4 linked regions of the Rhinolophus ferrumequinum genome follow. The protein of the gene in region 2 purifies or fractionates together with the protein of the main gene of each other region. This does not show direct contact. Links are inferred from orthologs where the notes say so. Each region holds a gene or a part of one and is shown on either strand. Other genes may lie near its edges. The genes, in order: ARHGEF7, NCK1, PDGFRB and WASL.

Region 1 (8,227 bases), on a different chromosome or scaffold from region 2:
CTAAAAATTGGGTTCCAATCAGTCAAACCCATAATTTGTTTGATGTACTTTTTTTTTCTGGAATAAGTCAAAAGGTCAGAAAATGGGGCAATTAAAAATCTTTCTCTTTGGAAGTCGACATTACATTCAAATGGATGAAGCCATTTACAAAGCAAAAAATTTTCATGTAACATTGATTTTGCTACCCCAGGATAAAATATGGCAGGCAACTAATTATGTCACCAAATAGTTATTTGTTGGTATCTGCTTCTGTTCTTTTTCAAAAAGTACTTCTCCAACAGAAATTTTTTTAAGGCTTTGCATGGAATATAGGTAAAAATATCAATGGGTGTTTTAAAAGAAAAATCAAAACACTACCCTCTTTTAAGATTAATGTTCATTTCAGACTTGACAACAGATCAAAAAAGTCCTCTTGCCCAGTCGTCTATTCTTGTCTCCATTATTTTATGTAGTATCCAGTCAAGAGCACTGAGGATGACAGTCATTGGTATCTTTGAGCTAAATTCACATGGAGGATAAAACAGATTTGTAAAACACTTTGTTTTCCAACAAGCCCTGGCTGTTATAGTGTCATTAGGATTTAATATTGGAATAGTTTAATCTTCAAATGTCTGTTGCTTTATAAAAAGTAGGTTTACAACAATATAAAACACATAATTTATTTAAAGGGATAGGAAAAGATAAAGTGAATCAGGCAGTACACTAAATCCGAATGGACTTATTTTCCTATTTAAAAAAACACAGACACTATCAAAGAGGCATAAAAAATAAACTACAGCTTATGCTGTTTACACAATCTAACTTAAAACAAAGTGTCAAAGAAGAGTTGAAAGTCAGCCACCAGGGAGGAGCACCAAATGATCAGGTAGAGCTGGCACAACAGCCATCCACCAATCAGGGACGGTGCATTTGGCATGGCCATGGACGTTCTGAAAGCACAGGAAACTATGGACACAAGTGGCCCAGAGCTCCAAATCACCTGTCTCTCTTGATTGGATTCCCAATACTCCTCAGTTCACGCTTGTGACATTGTGGAATCTTTACTATGCCCAGATGACAGAGAGAGAATGGGCCTGGTTTACAAATGGATTTGGTTGATAATTTGGTGTGAATGAATCTGGACTGCCGTCACACTACAGCCCAACTCCAGGGTGGTGCTAAAGGACAATGGTGAGGAGATGCCCTCTGACTGGCAAAGCTTGGAGCAGTTTGCTGGTCATCTCCTTTGGGTACAGATGCTTGGGCACAGTCGTGGGTGTCTGGGCTCCTTGTTTGGGTGCCTGGAAGGGGCAAGATGGGATCAATGGTTGCAGGGAAGTGGTGGAGGAGCTGTGGAGGAAACTGTGGGTACAGACACGGGCGTGTGGGTCTTGAGTCCCACATCAATCTTCAGAGTATCACTGAAGAAGGGACACTCAGCAACCAGGCACACAGATGGTGTCTGTAGCCAAGTGAAGCCAGCCCAGGCTTTGCTTACCAACACAGGGCCCTGCACAACCGGCCATAGTCAGTCCGTCATGGCGGTGGGGATGGAGGAGTGCAAAAAACCACGCTGTGGCTTCCTTCTCATGAAGGCTGACCTAACTACCCACAGCAGAGGCTGATTCTAACCCACTGATGAGGTAAAACCAGCCACTTGTTGGCAAGGTGATTACATGAGAGCCCTACAGTCCTGGAGGCAGAAGCAATTCATCTCACTGGATGGATACTTGCAGGAAACCAGCTTGGGGGTGACTTCCTGCAGAGTTAGGATGTGGCACATACACTGAACCAATGGCTTTTATATCGTGTTGTGCCCCCACGTAGCTAAAAAGGAGCATCCAGGCATCAATGGGTGGAAATACCATTGGCCTCTCTTACCATCACTCCCATTGATCCACTTAGGGTATTTGTGCCTCCTGCTCTGCAACTTTAGGCTCTGCTGTATTAGAAGTCATTGCCCTGGGGAAGACCCTCAATCTCAGGAGATGGGAGTCGAGGCATAAATTTTAGCCTGCCCATCCTCTGGTCAGAAAATTCTGAGACCTGCTCCACTGTTTCTCGAGGCTCCCCAGGGGATCTGAGCCCCAGTTGCTCATTTATACACCTTTGATTCACTTTTCTCCCCCTCTTGTTTCCCTTTCTCCCCTTCTTCATTTGTCCATCATGGGATTACTTCTTAAATAAACTACTTGCTCCCAAGTTGTTGGCCAGGATCTGCTTCTGTGGGAATCCAAACTAAGATAAGGGCTTCACCGACGTTATGTTTCATAATATACTATATTGGTAAAATGTCTTCCGAGCCTGAGTAATTTTTCAGCCATATATGTTTTTAAGCTATTGTTTCCTGCCTTACATCTTTAATTTTTTGTATGTGACCATATTTATGCCAAATAAATAAGATACAGTTTGATAAAACGAGTGCCTTAACATACAATAGATACAATGGACTTCACATAACTGCTTCTTACTGAATTGTTCAATCTAGATAATGGTCCAAATCAATAAAATTAATTTTACAGACAGTGATTGCTACACATTTCTAGGTAAATAGTTATCTGCCTGTCTGGCTTTAGGTTGGGGTAGATTTTAACATCTTTGTAACACCATCATCCAAGTACCCACAAGCTAACAAATCAAGTTAGCCCAGTTCAGCTGAATTTTGGGTAATGGTTTGTGGGTGTACCCCTAACAATGCCTGGGATCAGGAATGAACAGGCAGTCGAGCTGGGTGTGAGGCTGAAATCCTCTCTTGGGAAATGAGGGAACTGAAGGACATGTGCCTGAGCTGACATTGACAACCCAATAGAACAATGAGTTCTCCTCCATAGCACATGTCCCCTATAATAGGAACTTGGAAAAATATTAAGTTTAACCAAATGTCCACCTTGGATACTAAAACAGCTCAATTAAATACCTAAAACACCTAGCTTTGAACAATGTTACTTCTAGCATGCTCCAAACAAACATTTTTGAAATTAATGTACATCCAAGGTAAAAGAATGCCACTAGTAGCTATAAAGCATTTAAACATTCAGGGACTTCTAAGGCCAGTTATAGGTGGCAGTTATTACAGTTATTATCTGACAATAATTGGCTGCCAGGTTCATTGGTCACCCAAGGTCACTGCCTAGAGCTGTCTTTCTGTAGGACCATTTGATTGAGTCAAGTTGAATGTTACTCTTTTTTACTAGATTATAATGAAATTTGAAATTGTAATGACTGTATTCTAAATTATGTCTCCAATTCAGCAGTAATGAGAGTAAACAGGAGACTCAGTGGACAACTCTTGGGTCCATACCCTTCCCTTGATAGAGTCTCTGAACACAAAACTTGATCGAGCTGTTGATTGCGGTTTCCTAGAAAGCGTGTAGGGGAAGTGGTCTAGAAAACAGGTGAGGTGTGTTGGTCCTGGAGTCACAGAGCCCACGTTTGAGTCCATCTCCACCCCAGTAAAATGGGGACAATGAGAACTGTGCTAATGATGGTGTGATAGAATGCAGGGAGAGAGCACTGGGCAGAGGCACAGGGCGCCCAGGAAGTGGTTGCTGTTACAACCAAATATTCCACCCTCATATTCCAGAATTCATAGTGCTCTTTGAATTACTTTGTGTTTGCATTTGGAAAAATTTAAGCACTTAAAGCTGGTAATAAATGCAATTCATGATTACAATAAAAGTATTCTGGAAGAAGGTGAAGAAGAGGAGAGTTAAGCCTCTTTTTTAAAAATCTTTATATGGTTTCTAAGTCTATGTCATTTACTCTACTAATATATGTGGCACATAGTAGCTCTCTGTAGGTGAGTGCTAATGCTGTTTTAAACTGTCACAGGGAAAGCACTCAGAGACTGGATGGAGAAAACAGACATACATGTACACCTAAAACCTGCTTCTTTTAAGATGAGGCTCTCTTCCTTGGTTAACATATAAACGTGTCAGTGTCCTTGGTTGTTTGAAAAAGCTTGTTCATTGTGCATCATTTGGTTGTCTTAGTACTTTAGGTCCAACCCTGCACGTCTTCACAGCATCTCTTGCCCAAATGTGATCTGGCCAAGTGGCCTGTTTTGACTGAGCTGTTTGCACAGTCCTTCCTTCCAGTTCATCTGTACAGATACAGTTTAGGCTCTGCTGTTTTCTTGACCTTCCTACCAGCGTTTGAAACATCACCATCAATTTAAAGTGGAGCAGCTCTGAGGTTTCTTTCTGGTCCTGGAGAGTGGGGCCGACTGCCCCCCAGCGAGTGAGGTCACTTGCTCGGAAACAGGCCTCCCAGCAGGGGGCACGCGTGACACCGGCCACGCTGTTTGGGGCATCCACGCCCCCCCGCCCCCGAGGATCGTAGCAGCGCCTGGAAAATCAATTCCTCTTCAAATTAGACCCATCTGGTTACAGATATAATTATCATTTGTGTTCTGTAATTATTGGCTTACAAGGTAGTGGAGAGAAGCACTCCCCCACCCCTTGAAATAAAACTGGCAAAAATAAAAAGAGCATTCTGGGAAGCATTTAATAATTTAAACATTTATGAGTTAAGAATATAAATAAACGGTTCCGAGTCCTTCCAGGAGGGGAGAGGGCGGCGGAAAGGACAGGGCAAGGAGAGGAGTCTTGCTAGGCTCTCACCTCTGGAGGGGGTTGCGCATGGGCCCCGCAGGGCGCAAACGGTTAAGAGCGCGCGCCGCCCGCGGACTGGGAGTCCCCGCGAGCCCTCTCTGGCAGGCGGGCTGTCGCCTCCTGGAGGTCACCAGGCCCTTGGGGCGGGAGTCCACTGCCAGGCGCGCAGGTGCGGACACGCGCGCACTGCCGGGCCTGGGGGGTGGAGGGAGTACCACCGCGGGGACTAAGCGTGGGGGTGCGTGTGCGGCCGGGGGGCCGGGCCGTTCCAGCGCGGCGTCTTTTCTTCTTTTTTGCAGTGATGTCATCGGCGGCAGCGGCTGGGAGCCGGGAGGCGGCGGCGGGGGCGGCGCCGGGCGGCCGCCGCAGGTTCATGTGCATGTAATGAAAAGGCACTTGACAGTCGGCCAGGACGCACGCGAGGGAGCGCGAGCCGGCCGGACCGCGGCGCCGCCCGAGCCAATCGCCGTCGCCGGCCTCTCCATGGGCGAGCAGGAGGAGGGGGCGGTGAGCGCAACCGGCCCGGCAGCGGCCGCTCCGCGGTGAACCGCGCGGAGACGGGCTCGCGGCGCGGGGAGGCCGGCGCGCCGCCGCTATGAATTCCGCGGAGCAGACCGTTACGTGGCTCATTACCTTGGGGGTGCTGGAGTCGCCCAAGAAAACCATCTCGGACCCGGAGGGCTTCCTGCAGGCGTCTCTGAAGGATGGGGTGGTCCTCTGCAGGCTGCTGGAGCGCCTGCTGCCCGGGACCATCGAGAAAGTGAGTGCCCCTGGCCCGCGCCCCCACGGCAGACAGGCCCCGGCGGTGGGAGCCCCGGGAAGTGGGAGGCCTTGCTCCCCGCCTTGCCTGCGCCGCGGCCCGGGATGCGCGGAGACGCGCGGGCGCTGGGCGGCTCGCATCCGCACCTGGTGGCCGCGCGGGGATGGGAGAGCGCGGGGCGCGGGGTAGCCCACGCGCCTCCTTTGTGCGCAGACCCGGGAACGTGGCTCGCGCGAGGGGCGCGCTGGCGGCGCGAGGACCCAGTGGCGGGAGCTTGGGGCGCCATTGTGTGCGGTGCGGGCTGGGGCGGGGGTCGGGGCTGCGTTCTAGGGGAACGACCCCGGGGAGGCCCGGAGGGAAGGGGAGCGCTCTGCTCTGCCCTAAGGTGGAGTCGCCCCTCTCCGTGACCCGATCAGAAAACCGTGCTTCAGCACCGCGCACAGCTTCCTCGGAGGCTTTGTTTGAACAGCTTTTGTTGGTGGTATCGTATGGGAGTTTCGTCCTCCGTTTAGTTGACCAATTGCTGTGCATTTTTTAAAGATGCATTCATAAATAGCTGAGGGCTGGGTTGTGAAATGATTTACTGCCCTCCCCACGAAAGAATCCCTCAGGTCTCTAAACCCAGAGGATTGCAAATGCGGGGTTGGAAAGCCCTGGCATTCTTCAAGCTGGCTTAAAATTCTAGATTTCATTTTCAGGTTCCTACCTGATTTTGAACAGAATCCCTAGCCCTACAGATCCTGCTTCTTTTCTTCGTGACTGGTGGTTTCCCCGGGGCTGGAGTGTGAACCTTGACCCGCATCTCTGTGAGTGATTAAAGTTTGCTTTCCTCTCCCACAGCTGACAAAGCAGGGGCGAGGGGAGAGAAGCGCTTTTAAAAAGGATACATTCTCTATATCTGACAAACACTACAATCTTTTCCCTTTCCCCCCCAATACATAATCTTAAGGTAAACAATTACTTAAAAGGTGTTAAATGTAGAAATTAAAGTAACACCATGATTAGGAAAAAACTATTTTGTTTTTTAAATGGGCATATTGGCCCTAATGCACAATAAAAATTTGCTAATAAAAATATTAAGTGACTTTAAAAATTAAACTGTTTGATTTTATAAGTTTGCACATGTCCTGGTGCTACATTTTAAAGGTCAGAAAAGAGTTTATTAATATGAATTTTGCATACATAGTAGTTTTAGTTATTTTTCTTACTTGGAACGTGTTTATGAAAACATAATCTGCACTGTAGGGTGAATAACTTCCTGCCTGTCCTGAAAATAAAAATGTTGCTTGTAAATGAACCTGATGTCACAATAAAATTATGATTTAAGACAGGAATAAGGAGCAGGATCTAACTTTCAAGGCACTCAAAATATTTTGTTGTCATCTGGATATCAGAATCTCTGGTAATAAAAGACAGATGTTTGAAAAGCATTGAAAATGCATGCTAAGTTTATCAAAATAGGCTTACATAAAATACCATTCCATTCTAAGAGTGAAACTTCATATGCTGTCTAGATAAAAACTATCAATGCGTGTTATAGGCCTATTAACTACATTAATATTGATTGGCAAACTTCAATAATCATTTTCTTTTAAATTCTAGGAAGATTTTCTTAGAACACTGTAGCATGCCTTTCATCTCTAGAACAACAAAGAGAGGAATGAATAAAATGTTTAGTTTGAAGAAAACCCAACATATTCTAGAACTATTGTCATTTGGAAATTTCTTCTATTGAAGCTATTCTTTTATTCCCCGTAGGCCCCAATTGGTTTGTTTTAGACTGAGACTATCACAATGAAAGTTTAACATCAGAGTAGCAAATTATAGTCAGCTACTCATTCTCTGTGGTTCAAAGGTAGGTTTTTGGAGTAAAATATTAGCCATTCGCTCTGCCTCTGAAACCTTGGGTTTCAGAAGTTTCATGAGCTTTTTCCATTTCCTAAGAAGAGTTATTTATTTGAGCTTTTGGATGTTTGCATGCACAGCAAATAATGTATGCCACAAAGCACACGCGGAACAGCTTTCCCTGGAATGTGGGAATGTTAGTCTGAGGACGTTTTTCCTTAAAAAGGAGCATTTGGAAACTGAACAGAATATTCATATGAAATTGAAAGGATCTTAACTTTACTCCTGTTTGCCTCATGAACACACTGACAACTGGTTAATGGGATGTAAGCAGCCTGCAATTTAACATTTGCAAATTCATAATTAAAAATTTTGAACCATTAGACTGGGAATAGTGCATAATTAAGAAAAGTTTTAGGGTGGCTCAGATTTCCCATATGCCTTTTATTAGGAAAACATGCCCTAATATGTTCCTTGCATCATGCTCATTTGTTGTGTTTTAGAGCCAGTAAAAGGGTGGAGAACTAAGAGGAAATTCATTTCGGTTCAGATTGTTCTGCTCATTTAAAAAAAGTTTTCTGTTCAGGTTCTCCTTCATATAGTTCTGCTTTTCTTTAGGGTGGAAAGTTGCACAGGGAAAAGAGGGGACTATAAACTTTACATGAGCAGATCAGACAAGACACACGTTTCATTATTTATTACTCATGATGTTTTCTGCTGCAGGGGAGAGAAAAGTGGGGATTACAAGGTTTCCCAGATCTTCGTGTATGGGGATCCCATAGTTTGATTTTTCTCTGGTAATGGCCAGAATGTTTTGCTGACCTGCCCTCACTACTTGCTTCCCTCAGTCCTCCTGTGGTGGGAAACACACAAGGCCACAGGATCCAGTGAGACCTATCGGCACTGAGCTCATGAGTTAACACTTTAAACATCCCTAGCCTATTTAATCACTGGGAGTGAAGTCAAGATACAGAAGTTTCAGAGGATGGAATATTACTGTTAGATTAACAAAATACATGAAAATAATGGA
Region 2 (7,046 bases):
CCATCTACTTTCAAGGCCCCCAAAGATTCAGTCTCTTTATCAAGAAACTGAAACAAACTCCAGCAGTAAAACTTGTAAGAGATTCATTTACTTTTTAGTGGGTCATAGGAAGCAACTATAGAGATATTTTTGTTAATGTTGTTGATACAAAAGGCTGTACATAGACTTTTAAATCACTGTTTCAATAATTTAAATAATGCAGGTCATGAAGGTTCCTCTGTCCCCATAAAAAGTTCTGAATTTATGAGAAAGCTCAAGTACACAAAACGCAAAGTAATGTGAAGCAAACAACACAAAACAACATTGCAAGAGAGGAATAATACAGTTTCATAAGAGACACACAGGAAATTTCTAAAAATATACAGAACTTGAGTTAGGAAATAATATAGGAAGTCAAGGATTGAGTCTTAACTCTGCCACCATTACAAGATGTGTGAATTTCAGTGCAGTTATTCTGTATGCATTGCATTTTCCTTATCTATAAAACGGAAGGTTAGATTCCAACTTTCCCACAATATCGTTCCATGATATTATGATACATGCCCATATCAGATTAAAACCCAATGATAAAATAAGGGCTATAAGTTCAAAGGAAAACACAGAGAATAGAAAGATCTGGAAGGCTGCGATGAAGGACCAAAAATGAAACTTCAACAAAATCTGACTTCGTTTGCTACTTGGGTTCTTTAGCGAGATAAATTTCTTTTAAAGAACACCTAGACTACGCATAGACATTCAAAGTCTCAACAGATATAAAGGTAGAAAAATACAAAGTCTAAATGAGAACGCGATTGGTTTGGTTAGGGTGTACAGCTCCTATAGAGAAACAGAGATGTCATTAGAAAAACTAGGGTTTGAGCATATTGTTAGAAGGCTAGGAATTCTGAACTATATAGGTAACTGGGAGCTATTGCTGGTTTAACAGTGAGTGATATGTTCAAAGCATTATTTTAAGATTAGGCAGAAGGCTGGACGTAGTGAGTAGGAAGAAACGGCAGATTGAAAACCTAGTTAAAAGCTAGTGGAAATGAACAGATACCTGAAAGAAATTTTTAAAAATGGCTTGACAAAAACTGGCCAACATTATGTGGATTGAGGGAGTCAAAGATAAAACCAAGATTTGTATCATCAAAACAGCATATGGAATCAGTTTTGAAAAAAGGACTATAAATTCTATCTTTGAAATAGTTTAAAATGAGGATCATCCAGATAGAATTTTGGCCCTGTCAGTTGTCTTCCTAAAACAAGCATAGCAAAGTATTCATGAAGAATTTGTTAAATGCTTAGTGATTTCAAGAGTTTCCTCCAATTTTATGTATCAACTAAATAGTCATTTAGTCTTCATGTGTAGGTAGAAAACATTTGGTAATTTTCTGTATTATAAAGGTGAGTAAATTGTAAAAGTTATTAAACTATGATTTAAAAAATGGACTACATCTGTATTTATTAAATCAAGTCTTCCTGACAAGTGATTTATAACAATCAAATGTACCTTGAGCTTTGGGAGGAAAGTTCTCAAAGGTCCAAAGGAAATAAATCCAGCAGCATAAAGTATCACTCAGTATCTAATAAAACATTCTCTGTATGCTTCTAGTTTTATTTACATGGACCTGAAAGCAGTGGTAAAACCCGGACTAAAAGATAACGCTTAGAAAAATAAACAATTTAAAATTTAATATGCAAATAAGCACCATTGAGGAGTCTTGAACTCTGCAAATAGTGTTTACAGATATTATAGCTAATTCCTATAGATCACAATTTTCCCAAAGAAGAAAATTCCAGAATTTGTGATCAAGATGAAACAAAACTACTACTAGTCAACCAATGCATATTTCTTCAGTTACTGTCAAACTGAATGGAATGCCTATTTTAAAAACTGAATAGTGTAATTACCAAACAAACCAAACCTTCTTAAATTATTTCCCCATTTACTGTGTGACCTCGCTGAAAATTGAGACTGTAGGTACAGTGCTTTCCAGGTGCTTAATAAATTGCATAGTTGGTTTTCACATATCTACCAAAGTTAAGATTTTAAAAATGAATACCTCGGCAACACTTTGCCTTTTTAACCGGACACTGAACTTCTTTGCTCATCACCCAAGACGGAGTTAAAAAATTCTCCTTAACTTCATCCTTTCCTAACTCGTAAGGTTTCTTACCAAATCTAACGGGCAGAATTATTTTCAGATGACCAGTTCATCAGTTCGACAATAATTGAGCGTCTATAATGTTATGGTTCTCAACCCTGAACAAAATTCAGCTTCTCGAGCTCCTATTGGCAAATTTAACTTCATGGAAACACGTAAGAAAGGTTACAAAACCAACCTATCGAGGTAATTTTTTTTTTTACCGGATATATTACAACTCAAGTCAAAAGCTCACAGCCCAAGCAACTCACGTACGGAACTATTAAAATAATCCAGATTTCCCAAGAACCAGGGAAACGGCTGGGGTGGGGGAGGGGCCGAGGGCGCATCCTGTAGATGTCCACCCTCCGCACAGGGCACGGGTCCCTCCCTCCCCTCCTCTAGGGCTGGAGGTGAGCGCGCCCCTTCCTTCCCCTACCACGTTCATACCTTCCTGCCCTTGCATTACGCCTTAACAGGCAAGATGACTTTTTGGGAGGAAAAGAAACAGAAGCGCGCACGCTGTACACTCCACCTCCCAACCTCGCAGGGGCCGCCAGCCAGGGGGCTCACCCAGACCTGGCGCTTGGGGGACGGACAGGGAAGACGCGGGGCCGCGCCCCCCAGGGCAGTGGCCGGAGGGTGCGCCAAGCCACAGTGCAAACGCCCAGGTCAGCCGAGAGGCCTCCCCGCCCCCTCAGGCTCAGCTCCTGGCCCGCAGACGGCGCCCCCCGGGCCAACTTCGCCGGGGAAGAGGAAGCGACGCAGCTAATAACACGTTATGTGAACGCAAGGGGCAAGGAAAGGGTCTCTGTGCGTCTGCCTGCCGGCAGAGCCGTCTCTCCTTCCCTCTGCCGAGCCCCAGCGGCCCCAGCTCACCTGAGGAGGGCACCCGGACGCCGCCGCGGCCGCCGCGATGGCCGTTACGGCACGAGGCCTCCGCTCCGCCGCCGCGTAGCTCTCAGCAGAGGGGCGGGGCGCGCGAGGCAGGCGGGCGGGGCTGCAGCGCCGACTGGTCGCGAGGCCGCGGTCGGATCCGCGCCGGCAGGAAGTCCCCTCCTGACCTAATTTGATAGGCTCAACCGCCCCCTTCCCTCCTATCCCTGACGCGAGAGTGGTCTGCGATGCGCTGGGATTGGACGGACAAGCCTGTCAATCAAGTGCTGTGCTGGAGTGAGCGGAGGCTGACCCCAGAGAGAGAGCTGGAGGGTGAGAGGATCTCCAGACCTCACCCTGTTCACGTCGCGTTTTCCTCCCTGGCTGACTGCTTTGGGCCTTCCTCCTCAGCGCCGCCGGAGAGACTCTACAGCACAAATGACTGCTTCCCGAGGTTAGCTCCAACTGCTCTGGGATCTTCCTCCTGGTTTCTGCTCCAGAAGAGGGTCCTGCCTGAGAAAGATCTTAGGGGCGGGGAGCAAAGAAGAAAAACCAAAAGGTCTGCAAATGGGGACCTGAGGGAAAAATGTAAGACGTATACTTAAATTGAGCCACAAAGTGAAATAAACTGAGTCTGAGGGCCTTCGAAGTGCCCTAGTGCCTAGCTTCTAGTCTCGTTTGTGGTGGTCATGCTCTGAGGAGCAAGGACAGTGACCGTCGGTGCTAGGTTTGCCCACTCCTCGGAACTCAGTCAGCCCCAGCCATCAGCCAGGTAACAGCAGTTAAACTGGTTCTCCGACGCCGGGGCTCCATTCCCCCCTCAACATGCCTCATTCCTTCCTAACCGTCTTTGTGGCTCAGCTAGGCCAGCCTCCTCAGGGAAGCCTGCTTGCGTCAGGTACCCTGCATGGAGCACTGGTATTTTCCCATAGTAGTTTGTACGTATCCCTACCTAGATTGTAAACTATGTTAAGTCAGGAGCCATGTCAGTTTTCAGTTTCCCCCCAGTGCCTAGCATGTGACACATCGTCAGTAAATATTGTTAAAGGCAGTAAATCTTTCTCTCCTGTCTTTAAGACTGGCCCTGTCAGTCCCAAAAGTTCACACTTTTATTCAACTTCAAAATTATTCGAGTTTTGATAAATATATGTGGTTTGCTTGCCATATATAGGATCACAAGGTCAAGCACAAATCACCGGTGACCCCTTCCTGCCTTCGACTTGGCTGGGGCAAGTGTTTCTTGAAACTGCAACAGCTACTCTACGTCTACATCCCATTATTAGCATCCAAAGTGAAGAAGTGGATTTTGAATTTATTCTAAGGGTCTAAATACCTTTGCATATTTTATCATGGCTGTTATGGGTGGAATTGTGTGCCCTCCTGAAATTCATATGTTGAAGCCCTAACCTCCAATGTGACTGCATTTAGAGACAGGGCCTGTAGGAGGTAATTAAAGTTGACTGAGGTGATAAGAGTGGGGCCCTAATATTTTAGGATTAATGTCTCTATAAGCAGAGACATCAGAGAGCTTACCCTGTTTCCACCATGAGAGGAGACAGTGAGAAGGCAGCTATGTGCAAGCCAAGAAGAGAGTTCTCACCAGAAACTCACCATGTTGGCACCCTGGTGTGTAACTTCCAGCCTACAGAACTGTGAGAAATTAGATTTCTATTGTTTAAGCCACCCAGCCTGTGGTATTTTGTTATGGCAGACTGAGATGACTAATACAATAGTTTTATTCGTTGGTACATCTTACAAAGTTTATGGATTCAGATAAAAGAATATTCATTTTTGAAGCTGGAGAAACCATTGTTCAGAGGTTAAAACTATTTCTCCAAAATCACAGAGTAAACTGGTAGCAAAATCTAGCTGAATTCTAGTTACACATTTAACATGTGATGGGGGCAGGGGGTTTGAATACAACTACAACAGGTAAAGTAGTCCTTGCGATCAGGCAGCTTATACCACTACCTTAATGGGGAAAATAAACTCAGAAAAAAATATACTGAAGTCTTAAGATTTTATTTTGTAAGGCAATATGCATTTTGAATGGGCCAATGATCTGAACAGACCCTTCACAAGATTTTGATGCAAATATCTTAACTACTATGTGCCACCTATTTAAGCATTAGAAGAATTAAGGGAGTTAAAAGTATTTTAATTCCCTGCAAACGTGTGGGGACAGAGCCCCAGAAAGCAGTTTCCAGGCTCTCGGCCTCACATAGAAAGGTGCTGGCTCAGGTAGTAAATGGCCGTCGACTGTGATCAAATGGCCATCAGCTGTGGCTAGTTGGCCGTCAGCTGTAACCAGTGAGCCATTAGCCATGAATATAACTGCCGTGGCTACACTAGCAGAAAAGGGGGAGCTAGCAAGAAGATGGTGGCTGAGTCTGCAAGCGGCACAGTGAGGGTTGAGAATTGTGTTGCTCCTGGTTCCTGTGTCTCCAACCCAGCCACCAGTGAGAGTATAGTGGTGTGACTCCCCTACCTATGGCTCCGTGGGTGTTCCTTTTTGGCTTCACCATGTCCTGCGTTTTTATGTGGGGAGTGGGACCAGAGACCCCGCATGACACCCCGCATGACAACATGTTTTTTCCTTTAGTTTTCCTTCCTTAAGTTTCCTCATCATCCATTCTTACCATGAACTCTTTAAAAAAAAAAAAGAAAAAAGAAAAAATATATGAAAAAGAGGAGTTAAAGAAAAATAAGGAAACAGCAATAAAAGAGGAAAGCATTGGGTGGAAGGGTAGCTAGGCAGAAAGTCATGTATGAAATTGCAGCATGGTGTACTTAGAAGGAATGGAGTCCATGTTCTTATGGGATGGGAGTTGTTCCAGAGACTTCCTTTCACACCCTCTGTCTCCCCAACTTTCAAACATAAACAAGCATATGGCTTCTTTTTCCTCTTTTAGTAGATCTCAAATCAAAACCAGGAATCACCCTTGCTAATTAGTGCTGAGTGAACCAGGGTCTAGCCAGAATGAGGCAACAAGAAAATTTTGGTCAGAACTTTGGACCTATGGACTGGAAATGGGGCTTCAGAAATGGGTATTTAATCTGTCTGGGATAAAAACTTGCAAGCAGCTCACTTCATTAGCCTGAAATGAAAGGACTTGGGAAGACAAGGAATGGAAAATAAATCTCACATCTCAAGGCCTTTCCCAGGAAACTACTGATAGCTTACAGTTAGAAGTGATTAGAGAGAATGATCTGGTTTAGCATCAGGTAGGACTGTTTAGGACCAAAAAAAGTCCCACTTACTAATCTGCAAGAACTAATCACAGGCTTGACTGTGATGTATAGAAATTAGTGCATTAATCCTGGTAACTAAATTTAATTTCTGGATTGAGTGTTACTATGCTTTTATGGGAATTAATTCAGCAAAATTTACTGAGAGTCTACTCTGTGGTAGGCACTACAATAGGTAGTGGAGATCTAACAATCACTTTAAAGGAGTTCAATTCAGTGTCCGAGAATGAGATAATATATTAATAGTAAATACAAGCAATAGATATGTACAGAGGGATGTTAAGCCACAGAGGGAGGGGAGTTTTATGTTCAGGCTATTCTGGCAATTAAGTAGGCAAAAAGAAGGGCCTTCCACGTAGAGTCCTGCATAAAAAGATATTACACAATAGTAGAGAAATGCTGGAGCAGACGATGACTAGAAATGTAAGCAATATCGGGCTATGGAAGTTAAGGTCCTTAGACGTTATCCTATAGGCAATGAGAAGCCATTAAAGAGTTTTCTTTCAGCACTTTAAATGTCTTCTGTTGTTTTCTGGATTCCATTGTTTCTGATGAGAAATCAACTGTAATTCTTATCATTATTTTCCTGAATGTTATATCTTTTTCTCTCGCTGCTTTTAAGATTTTGTTTCTTTATCTTTGTTAATCAGCAGTTACACTATGTTTCTAGGGGTGGTTTTTCTTTGCATTTGTACAGCTAAGGTTCCCTTAGTTCCCTGGATCTGTGGATTGCTGTTGTTGTTTCCTTTTATCAAATTTGGAAAAATTTTGACCAGTCTTTCTTAAATATTTTTT
Region 3 (7,229 bases), on a different chromosome or scaffold from region 2:
AAATCCCCTCCTTCAGCCCACTGTACCTGGAGGATGGAAGTGAGCCTTTAGAATACGCACGTTGGCCAGGCCCCTTCCATGGGCATGGTCCTTTACGGGTTGCAGACCAATTTCACAGCCAAGTGTCCTGTGCAGGAGGCGGGAGAGCAGCGGCCCTCTCTTAGCCAATGGTATCAGGTCCTGTCTGTGAAATGCAGGGACTGTGCTAAGCGTCTGACCTACCCTGTTATCTCATGGGACCCACATATCGCCCTGCCGCTCACGGAGCTGAGAGCTGATGCCCAGAGGAGCAGAGCAGTAGCCCAGGGTCACACAGTCAGGCAGAAGTCAACTCGGGGGTTAACGCATGGCCAACTGACACTCAGACCTGGTGTTGTTTACCCACGGTGCCCACTGCCCTCCAGATGCGGAGGCAGCCCAGAAAGAACAAGTGGGGGTCTGAGGCTGGCCACACAGTGGATTTGAATTAAGCCAGGGCAAGCGCCAGCTCTCCTGACTCTGAATCCACGGTGCTTTCCACTGCCCCACATCTGTGGGCAATTACAAGTCTCAACTCTTCTTCCCACAGAGGAGGGAGGGCTGCCTGAGCATGGGGGAGGGGAGGATGCGGACCAGGTGGGTTTCTTCCCCACTCCAGACGGAGCCAGGGTCGGGCAGACCCAGGAGCAGGTCAGGCTGCTGCTGAACCTTCTGCTTCGGACCATGCTAGAGGCAGGCGCAGGCTATGTGGGCGGATGGAGATATGCTCCCCTAGGACCAGGCAGACCGGGGGCCTAAATACCACCTCTACTGTGTGACCCTGGGAAAGTCACTTAGCTTCTCTGAGCCTCTGTTTTTTTGTCTGCAAAGCAGGGGGAATCATGCTGATTCCAAAGAGCTGCTGTGGGGATTCCAAGGCATGTGAGGTCCCAGGCTCTGCACCTGGCACAGAGTCAGCACTCAGTGACAATGACCAACAAGTGTCGTGGATTCGGGGACCTCCAGATTGGAGGCAGGGGAGGACTCTTAACTTCAGAAGATCACGCTAGAGGCCTCTGTGCACCTTGGGATCACAGAGGCAGGCAGGGACACTCTTCCCTGTTTGACATAAAAAAATGCATTCAGGAAGAACCGCACGATGTTCTGGAAGGGCCTCTGAGGGAAGACAGAAGGCCTGGGTTCTCGTCTCACACTTGGGAACAGAAAGTCCTCAGTGAGTCCCTCCTCCCTTTCCCCAGCACATTTTCTCAGCCCTATTGCCCACCTGGGGAAATTGGGGACAGAACACAAGATGGGGAAGCTAGGGGCCTGATCAACCACTGATGTGCAAACAGAACACGACTAGCAAGACAGGGCCAAGCAACAAGCCTCCAGCACAAAGGGCACAGCGAGCACTTGGAGAACCTGGGAGGCTGCTTGGAGGAGGTGAAATAGGGAGAATCCTTGAAGGGAAAGTGGAAGTGATGAGGAAGAACGAGTCCACAGACAGGATTATGCAAATTCCTTCTGGGAATCCTGGGCTCTGACTGGAAGGAATAGGACCACAGGACCAAGTGTGGAGTGATGGGGCAAGGAGAGCACTACCTCCCCATGCTTTGCCACTTCCTTCCTGTGTGGGACAGTTTTGTGGCTGCTGTGAGCCTCAGTTTCCCCACCCATAAGGCAGGCGTAAAATCAGTCCCTGCCTCTGGAGTTGCTGGTGAGTGGTACGCGAAATCACACTTACAAAGCTCTCCACACCGTCCTGGCATGCAGTAAGTGTCAATCAGTGGCAGCGCGGTTAGGAGTTTGGGCTTTCTACTTGGGAGAGTCACAGAAAGAATCCTGGTCCAATTCATGTTTTAGGATAGAGTGGAGAAGGGGCAGCGTCCAGAAGGAAGGAGACAGCCAGGAGGCCTGAGCAGCTGCCTGGGACCAGGAGAAAGGGCCCAGCGGCCCACCCCCCTTCTTCACAGAGGGGCCCCCAGATCTGATGGCCAGCAGGGTCCAAGACCCCCAGCCCTAGTTGCCTGAACATGGCCTGCCAAGTGCCAGCCCCCTCGCCTTTGCACTTTCCCAGCCGCTGGGGGTTTGGAAGGACATCTTAGGAATCTGGAAAATTTGCAAATCCATTTAAATCCCCAGAGGTTGCCTGGCGGCCACTGGCCTAGAGCCAGACAGATTCGTAGGGACAAGGCTTAGGTCCAGGGACAGGGGTTATGGCTCTGAGGTTCCCTGGCCCCTGCTAGATCCCGTTCTGGTGTGCCCTGCTTGCCATCTCCCAATTTCCTTCTCATGCTCCTCCCTACTCGCCCCATCCCCCATAGGCACTGCTGTGCTTTGGAGGCCCCCACTCAGCACCCAGAAACCTCTGGGGTTTGTTTGATGAGGGCAGGGGGCAGCAGGGTTGAGGAGGCTGGGGCCACCCTCCCCAGACGCGGACTGAGCACGAGAGAGGAAAAATCTAGTCCCTCCAGCGCCGCTGATGTCCCCCGCCCATAGCCTCCAGCCTCCTCCCATCTGGTTTTGTTAAAAATATTTTCCATTTTTGACCTATCCAAGAAGGCACAGGCTGGAGTTGGGGACAGGACAAGGAGTTGGGGATCACCCCTCTACAAGCACTTACCTTGCTGCTGATACCTTTTGATGTGCACAAGGTCCCGGGCTCTGGGCTGTCACCCCCTCCAGGAAGTCCTCCTCACTGCCTCTCCTGTTATCAGAGAGTCTTTGCCGGCCCGAAATGGGGGCAACAGCTAGATAGGAGAGCAGAAAGGACCGTGGTAGGTTCCCGGAGCCTTGGGAGAGGGGAGGAAGTGGGGGGCTGCAGGGGTGAGGAGTGGCCTCACGCCCAAGGCATCCTTCGGGAGGAGCAGGGTTGCCAGGAGGGGCCGCCCTGGGTCTGGCTGTCTGTGTCGCTCCGCACTGGCTGCTGCCCTGCAGTGCTGGTCAGAGCGGCCCCAGCGCTTTCCTTCTCGTCCTCCTCCTCTCCCACTCCAAGTTGCTCAGAGAGCGATCCTGGGTCCCAGACGGGGCGGGCGGGCAGGGACTGCGGGCTTCTGGCAGCCCCCAACGCTCACACCACTGCCGGCTTCCCTGCCCCCCCTACTTTGGGGGAAAGGCTGCAGGGCAGCCTCTGATTGGCCCAGCTGAGAGAAGGGGGGCGGTGGGGCGGGGAGGGTGGACGCGTGCGTCTGTTTTCAATTTCAGCTTTTTTCCCTCTCTCTTTCTTTCCCCCCAAGTTTCTTGTTTTTCTTCCTCTTTTCCCTCTGCTTGCTCCCTCCCGTCGCCTGCTCTCTCAGGATGTGAGGGGATGTTTAGAAATTCCACAGCCCACGCCAGACGCTGAGTCACTTTTATTAAAGAGTGCCCCAGCCCCACTCCACTGATGCCCATCTCAGGTAGCAGCCTCCACTTACCGTGGCACCTGGGAGCAGGTCCCTTCTCTGTGCCTCAGTTTCTCCATCTGTAAGGGGAGGTCTGATCCCTTATACAGTTGATTCAGTCAACATTCATTCATTGAACAGCATGTTGAGCACCTACTAGACACTGCACTGGGTGTTGGGGATGCAGAGTGAGTAAGACACAGTCCCTGACCTCACAAGTGCCCAGGCCGGTGGGAGAGACAGACGGTGCACAGGTAGGCACTTGAGAGGAGGCAGGCATCTGAGAGTGGAGCTAGAGGGTCAGCTGACTGAGGGTGGAGGGAATCAGAGAGGACTTCTGAGAAGAGCTGACTTAGAAGAGATGGAAAGACCTTCCAAGATTATCAGCCACTTCGCAGAAGAAGAAACCAAGGCCCAGCGGTGAACTGGTTCAGAGAGGAAAAGAGACTTGCCCAAGGTCACTAAGCATACTTCAGGTTTCCAGACATATCCCTTTCTATCATCTTAAAGCCCCTGGAACCCCAGGAAAGGGTTATTTCCCCATTTTATAGATGAGGCGATTGAAGCCCAGAGGAGTGAAATGAGTTTCCCAAGCTCACACAGCAATGTCAGAATTGGAGCAGAATTGGGTCTCACGTGTGGCACGGTGGAACAGACAAGGGAAGGACCACATTACAGTATAGACTGGCCCTGCTATCCTGCCTTCTTCCTAGGTTATCCCTTTTCCCGTCTCTCATTCAGTCACTCAACAGGTGTTTCCGAGTACCTGTTAGGGTCCATTTCTACCCTCCTGCCCTCCCTCCCCACCAGGATCTCCTCCAGGACCCCGGCCAGACCCTCATCCCTCACTCCACCCCTCCTCATGTCCTCAGATCAAAAGGTGTCGCTAGCCACAAACTCTTGGCCCCTACACGCCACACAGCATCATTTTAAAAGGACTTAAGAGTGGTGAGTTACCCCTGGCTCCCACTACTGTACACACGGGAAACTGAGTCCCAGAGAGGGACAGAAAGGTATCCCAGGTCACATGGACAGAGCCTGACTCTTCTCAGGGCTCCTTCCATCCTGCCCTCTGCTCTTCTGTCTTTGCCCTTCTTTGCCTCTATCTTTGCCTCCCCCAGGGCCTTGTTCACAGGGCAGGGGGTTTGCTTGAGCTGGGATTTCATGCTAACCACAGTAACCTCTCTTGGCAGTCATTTCTTGGTCTTGTCCTGGGGACTGCACAGCAGAGCAACTGGGCTGGGCCACACAGAGGGATAACGGTTCTCAGACTGGCCCCAGAGCAAGGGGTGGGGGCCATGAGAGCCTCCCAAAAGAGGGGCTGGCCCAGCTTGGTAGCAGCAAAGTCATAGGGGAATACGGGGGACTCCGAACCCAGAGGGTCAGGCCATATAGGGATTTCTTGTGCCCAAAACTCCTTTGGTGTTTATAAGTCCCTTCCTAGCATTTGCTTTGGTCATTCACCTCCAAAGTCTTGGCCCAACTGCTGGGACTAAGACAGCTCTGTGACAGCAAGGAGGCATTGCAATCCCTAGTCCTTCCAAAAGCTAGTCTGGGAGTCAGGAGACCCAGCTGTGGACTTGTTGTGTGGCCTTGGATAGGTATTTGTCCTCCCTGAGCCTCAGTTTCCCCATCCCCATAACACATGGGAGGATTCACTGTGCTGGAAGGCCCTTGGGATGCTCTGTCTGCAAGTTCCTTAGAGTTGGACTCTGGCTAGGAAGAGGAGGCTGGTGGGCCCCAGGGCAAGGGGACAGCTGGGGGCCAGAGATGCAGCAGAGGGGCGGGGGTGGCTGGTGGTGGCTCCCCCGGGAAGCTGGCGGCCGCCAGTTTCCGGCCAGCCCAATCTTCCGGCTGGCCCATCTGGAATCACTTAGCCCCTACTACCATTAACCCTTGGCAGACACCAGTGCTGTTACACCTCCTTTTAGCTGAGATGGGGCTGGGGGGGTGCAGAGCCATGTGGAACACAACAGGGCATTCTCCGAGGGCGGGACGGGTGAGACAGAAGGGTCATGACTGACAGGGCAGGTTTGAGAACCAGAGACAGAGCTGGGTTCAAATCCTAGCTTCTGTAGTTCCAAGCTACGTGACCTTGGGCAAGTAAGTCATTTAAGCTTCTGAGCCTCAGTTTTCTCCTCTGGAAAATGGATAATTTGAGGAATGATTCGTAGAACTGTTGCCATATGTAATGCACTTAAAGGGCTTACTCAGTACAGTGTCTGGAAGTGTAGGATTGAAATAGTGGGTTTCATTCCAGCAGCACCCCATCACTGTGTGCCCCTGGGCTGAGCCCTCCTTCTCTGGACCTCATTTCCCCCTGTGCACTTTGAAGGGGTGGGCAGTGGGCAGTGCAGCACCTCTGCTCTGGCATGGCCAGGAGGAGCCATGAACAGTCTCCCACCTGCCCAGATGCCGGGAGCCTGGTCCGGCCTCAAACAATCCTGTGTTGGAGGAGGCTGGGCTGAGAGTGGGTGGGCATGGCGTGGAGTGTGGGAGTCCTGCCTGACGTAGAGTGGGATATGGTGCAGAGGCAGAGCGGAGCTCTGTGCCTTGGGGTCCAGCACTTCCTCCCCACTGTGTAGCGGCACGTTCAAGCTGAGCTCTGATGTCTGTAGTTCCGACCCAGCTCTGCCTCTTCCTCGCTGTGGGTCCTGGACAAATTACATGATCTGAGCTCTCTCAGCCTCAGTGTTTTCAGCTATAAAATGGGGATACATGTGCTTACCTCACAGAGTTGTTGAGAGGCCTAAATAAGTGATGCACAGAAGGCATTTTATACAAGGAATGCAGCAGAGCAAAAAGATCCACAACAGGTGACGGAGTCTCAGGTGTCTCTGGGAGCCGCTGTCATAGCAGCCCTCCATCAGGGCAGGAGGAAAGCTCAGCCCACCCCTCATTGTACAGCCAGGATGACTGAGGCCCAGTGATGGAAAATGACTGCAAGACCAGGACTGGAACTGAAGTTTTTGTCTAGACTCTCAGGCCCATGCGCTTCCTGAAGGAGGGAACCAGGCTGAACGAAACCACCCCCCAGCCCCCCACCCACGCCTGACAGAGCCGGAAGCCACAGTTCTCAGTGGGGTGGGTGTGGGGGGAGAAGGGGTCCTGAAAGGGCGCCTGAGTGGGAGAATTCCCAGTAGGCCGGCTCAGTTCTCACTCAGGCAGGGCCAGCGGCCACCACATCTGGCTCTCCCACGCTCCCGGGACTGGCCCCTCCACCCCCAGGCTCCCCAGGCTCAGGCCGAGGAAGCAGCACACGTCTACCCAGGCACCATCAGCACAGTCATGGTCAGAAGAGTCCTAAGAGTGAGTTCATTATACAGGCATGGAAACTGAGGCCTAGGGAACAGAGGGGACTTGCCCAAGGTTAGCAGAGAGAGAAAAGTTAGCAGGACTCCTGGCCCCCAGCTCAGTATCCTTCCACCCTGTACACCCTGAGCAGGTAGGTCCTTGTACTTGCAGCCGGGGAGCTAGAAGAGGCCCACAGTGGGAATTGCCCTTCCCCTCCTGGACACTCAGCATAGTGGCTGGTTGTCGAGTTGGGCAGAGGGACTAATGCGGGCCTTTAGGCCACATTCCTGCCCTAGATAACTAGGACTGCTCTTACTGGACCAGACTGTGCCACCAAGACCTGACAGGGTCTCAGGAGATAAGGGCTTCGAGACTCTACCTACCTCGGCCTGTCCCCAGCCTCCAGCTGGCCTCAGCCTCAGCGCCCCAGGGAACACAGCCTCAGTGCCCCTTCTGGTACACAGATGGCTCAAGGATCATCACAACAGCAGGACCCTCTGAAGCCACAAATCTCTCCACACCAGACACACTGGGTCCCAGAGAAGGCCAGAACTTGCTCAGGAGCACATAGCAAGTCTGGAATGAGGCCTCTGA
Region 4 (8,007 bases), on a different chromosome or scaffold from region 2:
TAGCCAAGAGAGTAATAGTCTAGAATAATATAGCACGGTAGAAGGAACCTAGAAGGTCTCTGATTTAAAAAAACAAAAAACCACATAGGTGGATGTAATAGATTCTGATACATTTGATTATGTGGAAAATAGTATGAGATGAAATTTTATAGTTGTTAAAGAATATAGAAAAAATGAAAAAAATTAAACAAAAGAAAATTTGAGGAAATTATTGAGGGGTGAAAAACAAAATTAAAATGGTACAAGAATGTAAATGTAATCATAGTGTAATACTTGACTCATCAGAGACATACATATTGTTCTATGTGATAATGATTTAAACACAAATTGTGCTATAACTATAATGGCGGAGAAAAAATGGGGGAGTGTTAATTTAAGAGAAAGAAATCGTCACCATTTACAATAGGAAGTTAATAGATAATGCTGTCAATTGATCAATCAATACATAGCAGCTTGGCATACTACAATACATATCAGAAGAAACAATGCAAAGCAGATATATTTGGGGAGAGCACATGGGGATAGAGAAGGAAGCATGGAGCTTGTTTTTTTGTTGTTATTAGCTTTGTAGTACTATTTTATTTTTAAAATTATGTGCATGTATCAATTTTATAAATCTAAAACTTGATTTAAAAAAAGTTAATGGTATAGAACATATTCACCCCAATACTTTCAGTGAGGTAATGGGACACATGGCTTCGTCATGCTGCCTACCATCCATAATGTAAATTAACCTTGAACACATAATAAAGAAGCCAATGTTTGTCCCCTCTCCTCTGGAATAATTAAATTGGGAGCCATTGAATATTCATTAAAGTTAAGGAGCAGGGGAGAGAAAACTAGTGAGCAGCATCTGGGGAACTACAACACACTCAGTTCTTCAAATAATTTCTTGCATAAAGGCATGCATTAGGTATCTGGAGAGTAGGCCATATCGTGGTAGTTACCATCACTGGTAATTCACTACCATAAGTAAGAATTTAATGTTCCACTAACACTAAGAAATCAGAATGGGTTGTAAATAAACTATCCATTCCTAAAAAAGAAAGTCCCAAAGAGGCTTGTATTCAAAATGAATTGAAAAGGGAGAGAAAAACAGTTTGGTAGCTTACTTTTCAAGATTTCAGTTGATGACAATTAAAATACTTAACATATAACTTGGGAAAACAAGTACCAAGACAAATTCTCTTAAACACTGCCACATGCAACATTTACATGAAAATGTGAAGATGTTTTACAATGTGAACATTCTAAACCCATGACACTTGAAGGTTGCAAGGGAGAAGGGACAATCACCCCCTTGCCATATCCGCGCTCGCTGCTGTTGTCTCTATAACTCAGTTCTGCCAGTCAAGCAGTAATAGTTAAGTCAGTCCTGCTAATTGGCCACGGCTGCTGAATGCCAAGATCCCTGGGTGCAGCTGCCTCTATATTCCCCTACAATGATGGGTGTCACTACAGTTTAAATTATTAATATTAGCAAGGGGAACAGGGTGTTTCAGAGGACTTGTAACAGTACATAAACAATGATATTTGTAAAGAAGTAAAGTGGATTAACAAAGGACCAGGATAGGAGAAATTTACAATGTATAATAACGGCAGGGAATGCATCTGAAAATATGCCCTCCTTTCCATAAATAAGGTATCCTAATGTTTTGTTAAAAATGAGGACTGTAGTTTAAAGGATCGTAGCAAAGAAAGAAGAAAATGAAAGTACTAGAATAGATTCTGAATCAAAGAAAGTCAAGTGGAAGAACTTTTAAAAATTGCCTTATTCTTAGTTGTATTCATAATACAGCATGTGCATTTTACAGGTATATGAAGATAGAATCCCTACAGTATTCTTAACCTAGGTTACAAACTTCAACATACTCACTTGAAGGGAAATAGAATCCTTCTTATTTCCTGGATCAAATCCAATTTCTCAAACTGGGTAAAAAGAATTTGAGATAAGAAAATAACTTGCCAAAGAAAACAGAGAGAAAGATGTCTTGTGTTTGGCTGAAGAGAGGATATGCTATCAAGAATGAAAGAAAGAAAGGACTTGCTAAAACTTTTCGAACAAACAGAGCCAGTACTGCTTGGTCTCACGATGAACATGGAAAAATAGAATCCTTGTATGCATAGGAAGGGGGATAACCCCAAATATTGTCTGTGCACGTGTCCCAAAGAATAAGGAAGGCGCATTTAGTGTTCACACTTATATTTTCCACATTTTAAGAACAAGGAGTCGAAAAAAGCCCAGATGAAAGCAAAAGTAACAATGAAGGAGTTGAAAATAAGAACTTAGACTGTAATTTTGTGGACAAAATACCATATTTAAAATTTTGAGGAAAAGCTAAAGAAGCAGTTTGGGCTTGAGAAAAAAAGCCTGTGGTGGTTATAATTTTCCATCTTCATTTCTAAAGCAAAAAAGAACCGGGCAAATGGTCAGAAAATTTCACTTAGAAACATAAGATTTTAAAAATTTTCTCAAAGGAAAAAAAGTAATTAAAACAATAAACAGTTTAGGCTAACAAGAGGTTGTGAAATGATTAGAAGCCAGTGATTCTCCATGTGGGATAGATTCTTCAACGCATAGCTACTGTCCATTCACCCATCCTCCCGTAGCTTCTTTTTCACAGCCCTCTTCCACATCTTTCTACTATCTTCAAAATGGTTTGGTGGACTACAAGTTTTAAAAGCGGGCATTCCAACATAAAAATTGCTCTCATTCACTTTTTATTAATTAGAAACTAATATGATTCTGTCTCTAGATTTCTCGTTTTAAAAGCTTTGTAATTTTGGCATACTGAGAACATAGAGCCTATGTGACATAACATATACCCTAATTAGAAATTCTGCAAACACAAAGTGATACCCCAAATTCACTATGTATTTGGAGAATGACGCAGAGTTCTAAATAGGAAGGACAGTTTTCAAAGTATCAGGTTTAGATAGAATAACGATAAAAACACCCATTTCAACTCAACTCTTGAACCTTTAGCTAAGGGAAGGTAAGGTAGACCATAGGTAATGATGGTGAGTGACAGACAAGTAATATTTGAGTAACCATGATGTAGCAGGTACTTTACATTGTAATCCTGGTAAGTTTTACAACTTTGAGGTAAGTTTAATTATGTTTATACTATACCTTTATTAAATAGAAATTATTTTCTATTTTACAGATGAGGAAACTAAGACTTAAGAGAAGCAACTTGTCCAAAGTCCACAAGGTTGTAAATGGCAGAACAAGAACTCCAACTTAGGCCTATGTGAAGCCTTTATTTTTGTTACTATCCTGGTTTGAAAATACTAAGGATCTAATTTCTATCATTTCTCAAGCATTTCTAATGCTTTCCACTATTACTGCGGTTTTAATTTATAGGAGCCTCAAGTTTGATACAAGACTAACTGCTTTAGCTTCTAGGTTATTTTATTAGCTCTGTAATTCAGAGGAAACTCCAGGTTGACATTTCTACTATTGTTTTTCTAAACTGAATTATTTTATTAAAAGTCCACTCGCTTTTTAAAAAATCACATTTTCCCTAACGTTATTAATCAAATGTAATTTTGAAATGTCCATATTTTGTGTGAGGACTCCCAGGACTACATGACCGCATTTACCTTTGTCAATTTGTTCCCACTTAACTTCATTAAGGGCAGTTCTCAAGTTTCATATTTTCAAAGTGCACTGATAATGGCTTATCAATCTGTTTAGTACATCAGAGATTTGTATTGGAAGCTCTCAGAGATGTTAAAATCAATTAGTTTCATCCAATTTTATTTGGCATAGGATGGCTTAAATTTAATATATGGGAACTTTATTGAAATTGAGTAATTAGCAAACATGATGGTTCAAGTTTATCCAATAAATGCTGATTTGTTTAAAGGGGAGAAGTCAGATGTTTATTCTAATTCACTGTTGTGGGTAGTATTTATCATTTCCATATTCCAAAACTTCGTTTTAAAAGTTGAACATTAAATTTATTGAACAGAAGAGTTTATCTTGGGTAACTTTCAATATTTGGAGGTATACGAGTTTTTCTTTTTTTTTAATTCCTGAGATTTACTTCTGACGATTAAACCAGATGATGTATTTTCCTGTATGGCAGACATCCCCAAACGGGCACAGTCATTTTGGATAAGAAGAAAACAAGGTCTTCGGGGTTTGAGAGAAACAAAAAGATGAGAAGCGAAAAAAGGAATATTTTTCAATTCACAAGACAGGGGTTAAAAGGCGTGTTCAGGACCCTTAAAAGAAAAGATCTTGGATTTACATGTGACAGACACACTCATCCGATGTGAGGAGACGCCAGGCGGACGGTAGAAATCTCAAGTGCGTTTGTTTTTTGTAACGTCCATCAGCAAGATCTCCCTTTCACAATGCTGGGTGAGGCCTATTTGTTCCTCCACTCCCACTATTGAAGTTTGGACAGAGTTTAAGAAATCCCAGGCACCTGCGGCTCTGACCGAAACCGGCGAGGAGCACCGGGGACCACGTCACTTCTCTTCAGTGTCCCGTGTCCGCATTCCAGACTTTCTTGCCGTGCGGTGTGAGCGTCCCGGTTTCCGCGCCCCAGAAATCAGAGCCATTCCGGGGAGGGGGCCTGGGTCCGCACAGACTCTTCGCAAAGGTCGACGTCTGTGAAAGAGGGACCGGCAGCTCGGGGCCGGGGCCGAGCGTCCTCTGCGCTCCAGACAGCAGCCGCTGGGCCGCAGCAGCCGGGAGACGACAGTAGAGGCTGGTCCCGCACCCCGCACCACAGCCTCGCATCAGACCGCGCAGCCCGCGCCTCGGCCGGAAGGGGCGGGGCTCGGGGCCGGCGCGGCGAGGCCGGCGGCGCGTGCGGGGGGGGGCGGTTCCTCCCGGGCCCGGCCCGCAGCCGAGTTTCCGGCGCGCTCCCCCGCGGCCTGCGTCTTGTGGTCTCGCCCGCCCCCGCTGCCATGTTGGATTGTGCGGCCGCCGCCGCCGCCGCTGCCGCCGCCGCGGGAGGAGGGTTGGAGGAGGAGTTGGGAGTTTAGCGCAGTCGCCGGAGTGCGAGGGCAGCGACCATCCGGCCAGAGCCCAGCCGGGCGGGAGTTGGGAGCTTCCCTTACTCCGCGCGGCCCTCCGTCGGCTCCTCCTTCCCGTGGCCTCCCTCCTCCTCCCCGCGCCGGAGGAGTTGAGCGAGATGCTGCGCCTCTGACTCCCCTCCTCCCGCCCCTGTCACCGAGAGGGGGGACGAGCGCTCGCCCACTCGCCGGAGGACACGGACCTGGACTCCCAGCCCCGCCGGCGACACCATGAGCTCCGGCCAGCAGCAGCAGCAGCCGCCGCCGCGGAGGGTCACCAACGTGGGGTCCCTGCTGCTCACCCCGCAGGAGAACGAGTCCCTCTTCACCTTCCTCGGCAAGAAATGTGTGGTCAGTGGTCGAGACCCGCGTCGCCACCACCGACGTTACCTCACGGGCCCGGGCCGGGAAGTGGGAGTGGGGATGGAGGCGGGAGCGGCGCGGGGAGGGTCTGGCTGCTGGCCAGGCCTTCTCCCGGCCCCGCACGGGCGCCCTGGCCCCGCTCCCTAGGTGCGGGCAGTGCGGGCCCCGGCAGCCGAACGCCGCCACCCGGAGCTGACCGGCAGCAGGGAAGTGTCACCTCCGCAGGCCTGTCTTGGAGCCCTGCTTGGCCCGGCCCTCCGCCCTTGCTGCTGGTGCAAACTTGACTCTCAGGCCCAAAGGCGATTTTCTTGCACGAGCTGCTGGATCTTAGCAACCCGGCCCCTGTCCTGGCCTTCGCTTCACCTCCTCCCGCTTGATCGGGGGGTCCCCTCCGTCACAGTGCCAAAGGTTTCAGGAGTGGTTAGGTTAGGAAATGAAACCCAGATATGAATGAAGCGGACCACACGGTGGTTTCAGTTCCCCTTTAGGATCTCAGGAGGGAATGCTGTGCAGTGCATGGGTGCAAAAGGAGGGCAGGAAATGCTACTGTACCCCACTGCAGAGAAACGGTTTGTTTCTCCAGCGTTCTCGCCCAGGCCTGATTTCTACTGTCCTCCCCACTTATTTATTTATTTTTGCATTGGTGGGAGGAGGCACTGCGCTCCCCACTGCCATGCGCAGGGGAACCGCAATCTCTAGTAGTTCTTGGCCTTTTGGGGCCGGAGAACGATTCTTAGATTGGTGGTGTGCGGCCTGTTCCGACCCCAGATGGCGGGTTGGGAGCCAGCAGTTCTGCTGTGGGAAGGGGAATGTGTGTTGTTGACGGAAGCATTCATTACATTGGCTGCCGGCGCTCCTGGGGGTGGGAAGGTTCTGCCCTGTGGTGTAGGCCTTGTCAGGCTGCATCTTACTGCGGTGGCTGGGTTGAACTGTGGTTGAGTTTGTTGCAACTGCTGAGTCCATTTCTTGCCCCTTTGCTTGTTAGCACCTGCAGAATATGTGCCGCTGGAACCCAGGAAACACCTACAGAAATGTCAACAGAGCAGTTTTACAACTTTTCTTAGTAGTGTTAAATATGTCAAACCAGGCTACACCTGCTTGTTTAAGAAATTAGAACTAGACAGTTTCTGGAAAGTTACCGGATTAATTGTTAACTTTATAGGTGGGAGTCTACCCTTTGTGTTCTGTCCCATCCAGTTGGGGATTGAACCATTTATTACAGGCGATTCAGATGTGTTTCATATTTCAGAAGTTAGACCTTAAAGAACATATTTGGAGTTTACTGATTAGAAGAATTAAATAGGAGTGGCTTAAAATCAGAATTTAGGAAACAACTGTAAAGATATTCAAGTTTCCCTCCCCCCCACCAGCTTTTTTAAACAAATGAGAAAGCTGAGCCAGTGAGCCCTAAGTCACACAGCAATTTAGTAATGTAACCAGAACTAGAAAACCAGGACTCCTGATGCCTAGCCTGTGTACTTTCCACTACATCATGTTGTTTGAGAACGGTTTGTTCTCCCTTGTTATTATTTCTAAAAGTTAAAGAAATAATCATTTTTTATTTTTTTTTTTTTACCAACACCAGATAAAATTAAAAAGTGTGAGATTCTTAAAGCAGCACTAATTTTTGCATATGTTCAATTTAGGAAAATCTCCAGCACTTTGAATGTTAAATTATCTGCAAAGAAAAAAATAATTAAAATTTTGCTGATTTATTACATTTGCTATGTAATCTGTGTCAGAAAGGAAGTAGTTTGTGACTGTGTTTTACATACCAGACACATTAGCTTTATGCAGGAAGGACGTTGGATTTATATGCAAGTATACTTACTAATAGCTTTGTGCTTACCTGTACTGTTTACTGGTTTCAATAAATGGCAGGTGTGGAAGAATACTGTGCTAGAGAAAGAGAGTGTTGCTTATTGGTTAGTGTGAGTTGGTTGCTGAATAGGCTTTCTGTATTCAGGGCTCAATTTCTTTATGTCATCTATTATTAATCAACTTTACCTTTTGAATTTCTGTCATATAAAACCACACTGTTACCTGCTCTTCTGGTATGAAATTATTTCGAAGATAAACTTCAATATTCGACCTCTCCGGTTATTGGAGAGTAAAGTAAGAATGATGTATTAATTTTTTGGAACCATCTTTTTTTCCCTTTGATGACTATGCAGTTTTTGTAGTTAAAACAGTACTGAAACACAGTTTATTTAAAAAAAAAAAAATCCAGCAATAAGATTTACAGATCAGACCACACTTACATTTGTTAAGCAAGAAGTATATTCAGAATCGTAGTCATGGTGCCAACTCTCAAGGAGTTTCATTCCTTCTCTTACTCAACAAATAAGTATTGAGTAACTAAATGCTGAGGTCAAAACCAGGGTTGATGCCTGCCCTCAGGGAGCTTACAGTGTTTGAAAAGGAAAATGTGTAAACTGATGAGTAAGTCAGTTCTTCAGAGTGATGTGTAAGAGGTTGCATGTCACATTGGAAAATGTCTTTGTTTTGTAGTCAGCAGATGGGGGTTCAAATTTATATGGTCACTTTGGGCAAGTTTTTTAAGCTCCTTATCCTCGAGTTGGTTTTCTCATCTCTAAATTATGGATACTG

What was found.
Region 1: the proteins of NCK1 (region 2) and ARHGEF7 purify together in Homo sapiens (co-immunoprecipitation; 3 studies listed by BioGRID and IntAct, with this or other methods). This does not show direct contact. The link is inferred for Rhinolophus ferrumequinum from reciprocal best matches to the Homo sapiens genes NCK1 and ARHGEF7.
Region 3: the proteins of NCK1 (region 2) and PDGFRB purify together in Homo sapiens (affinity purification with western blotting; 3 studies listed by BioGRID and IntAct, with this or other methods). This does not show direct contact. The link is inferred for Rhinolophus ferrumequinum from reciprocal best matches to the Homo sapiens genes NCK1 and PDGFRB.
Region 4: the proteins of NCK1 (region 2) and WASL purify together in Homo sapiens (co-immunoprecipitation; 4 studies listed by BioGRID and IntAct, with this or other methods). This does not show direct contact. The link is inferred for Rhinolophus ferrumequinum from reciprocal best matches to the Homo sapiens genes NCK1 and WASL.

What each region holds. Positions count from the first base shown.
Region 1 is NC_046287.1:54,062,964-54,071,190, forward strand, and holds the start of ARHGEF7 (rho guanine nucleotide exchange factor 7), read left to right. Parts: upstream 1-5,187; coding exon 5,188-5,352; intron 5,353-8,227. UniProt on the Homo sapiens protein: Acts as a RAC1 guanine nucleotide exchange factor (GEF) and can induce membrane ruffling. Functions in cell migration, attachment and cell spreading. Promotes targeting of RAC1 to focal adhesions. May function as a positive regulator of apoptosis.
Region 2 is NC_046300.1:36,440,304-36,447,349, reverse strand, and holds the start of NCK1 (cytoplasmic protein NCK1), read right to left. Parts: upstream 3,132-7,046; 5' UTR 3,006-3,131; intron 1-3,005. UniProt on the Homo sapiens protein: Adapter protein which associates with tyrosine-phosphorylated growth factor receptors, such as KDR and PDGFRB, or their cellular substrates. Maintains low levels of EIF2S1 phosphorylation by promoting its dephosphorylation by PP1.
Region 3 is NC_046307.1:22,396,341-22,403,569, forward strand, and holds the start of PDGFRB (platelet-derived growth factor receptor beta), read right to left. Parts: upstream 3,046-7,229; 5' UTR 2,585-3,045; intron 185-2,584; 5' UTR 27-184; intron 1-26. UniProt on the Homo sapiens protein: Tyrosine-protein kinase that acts as a cell-surface receptor for homodimeric PDGFB and PDGFD and for heterodimers formed by PDGFA and PDGFB, and plays an essential role in the regulation of embryonic development, cell proliferation, survival, differentiation, chemotaxis and migration.
Region 4 is NC_046309.1:20,782,428-20,790,434, forward strand, and holds the start of WASL (actin nucleation-promoting factor WASL), read left to right. Parts: upstream 1-4,921; 5' UTR 4,922-5,265; coding exon 5,266-5,385; intron 5,386-8,007. UniProt on the Homo sapiens protein: Regulates actin polymerization by stimulating the actin-nucleating activity of the Arp2/3 complex. Involved in various processes, such as mitosis and cytokinesis, via its role in the regulation of actin polymerization.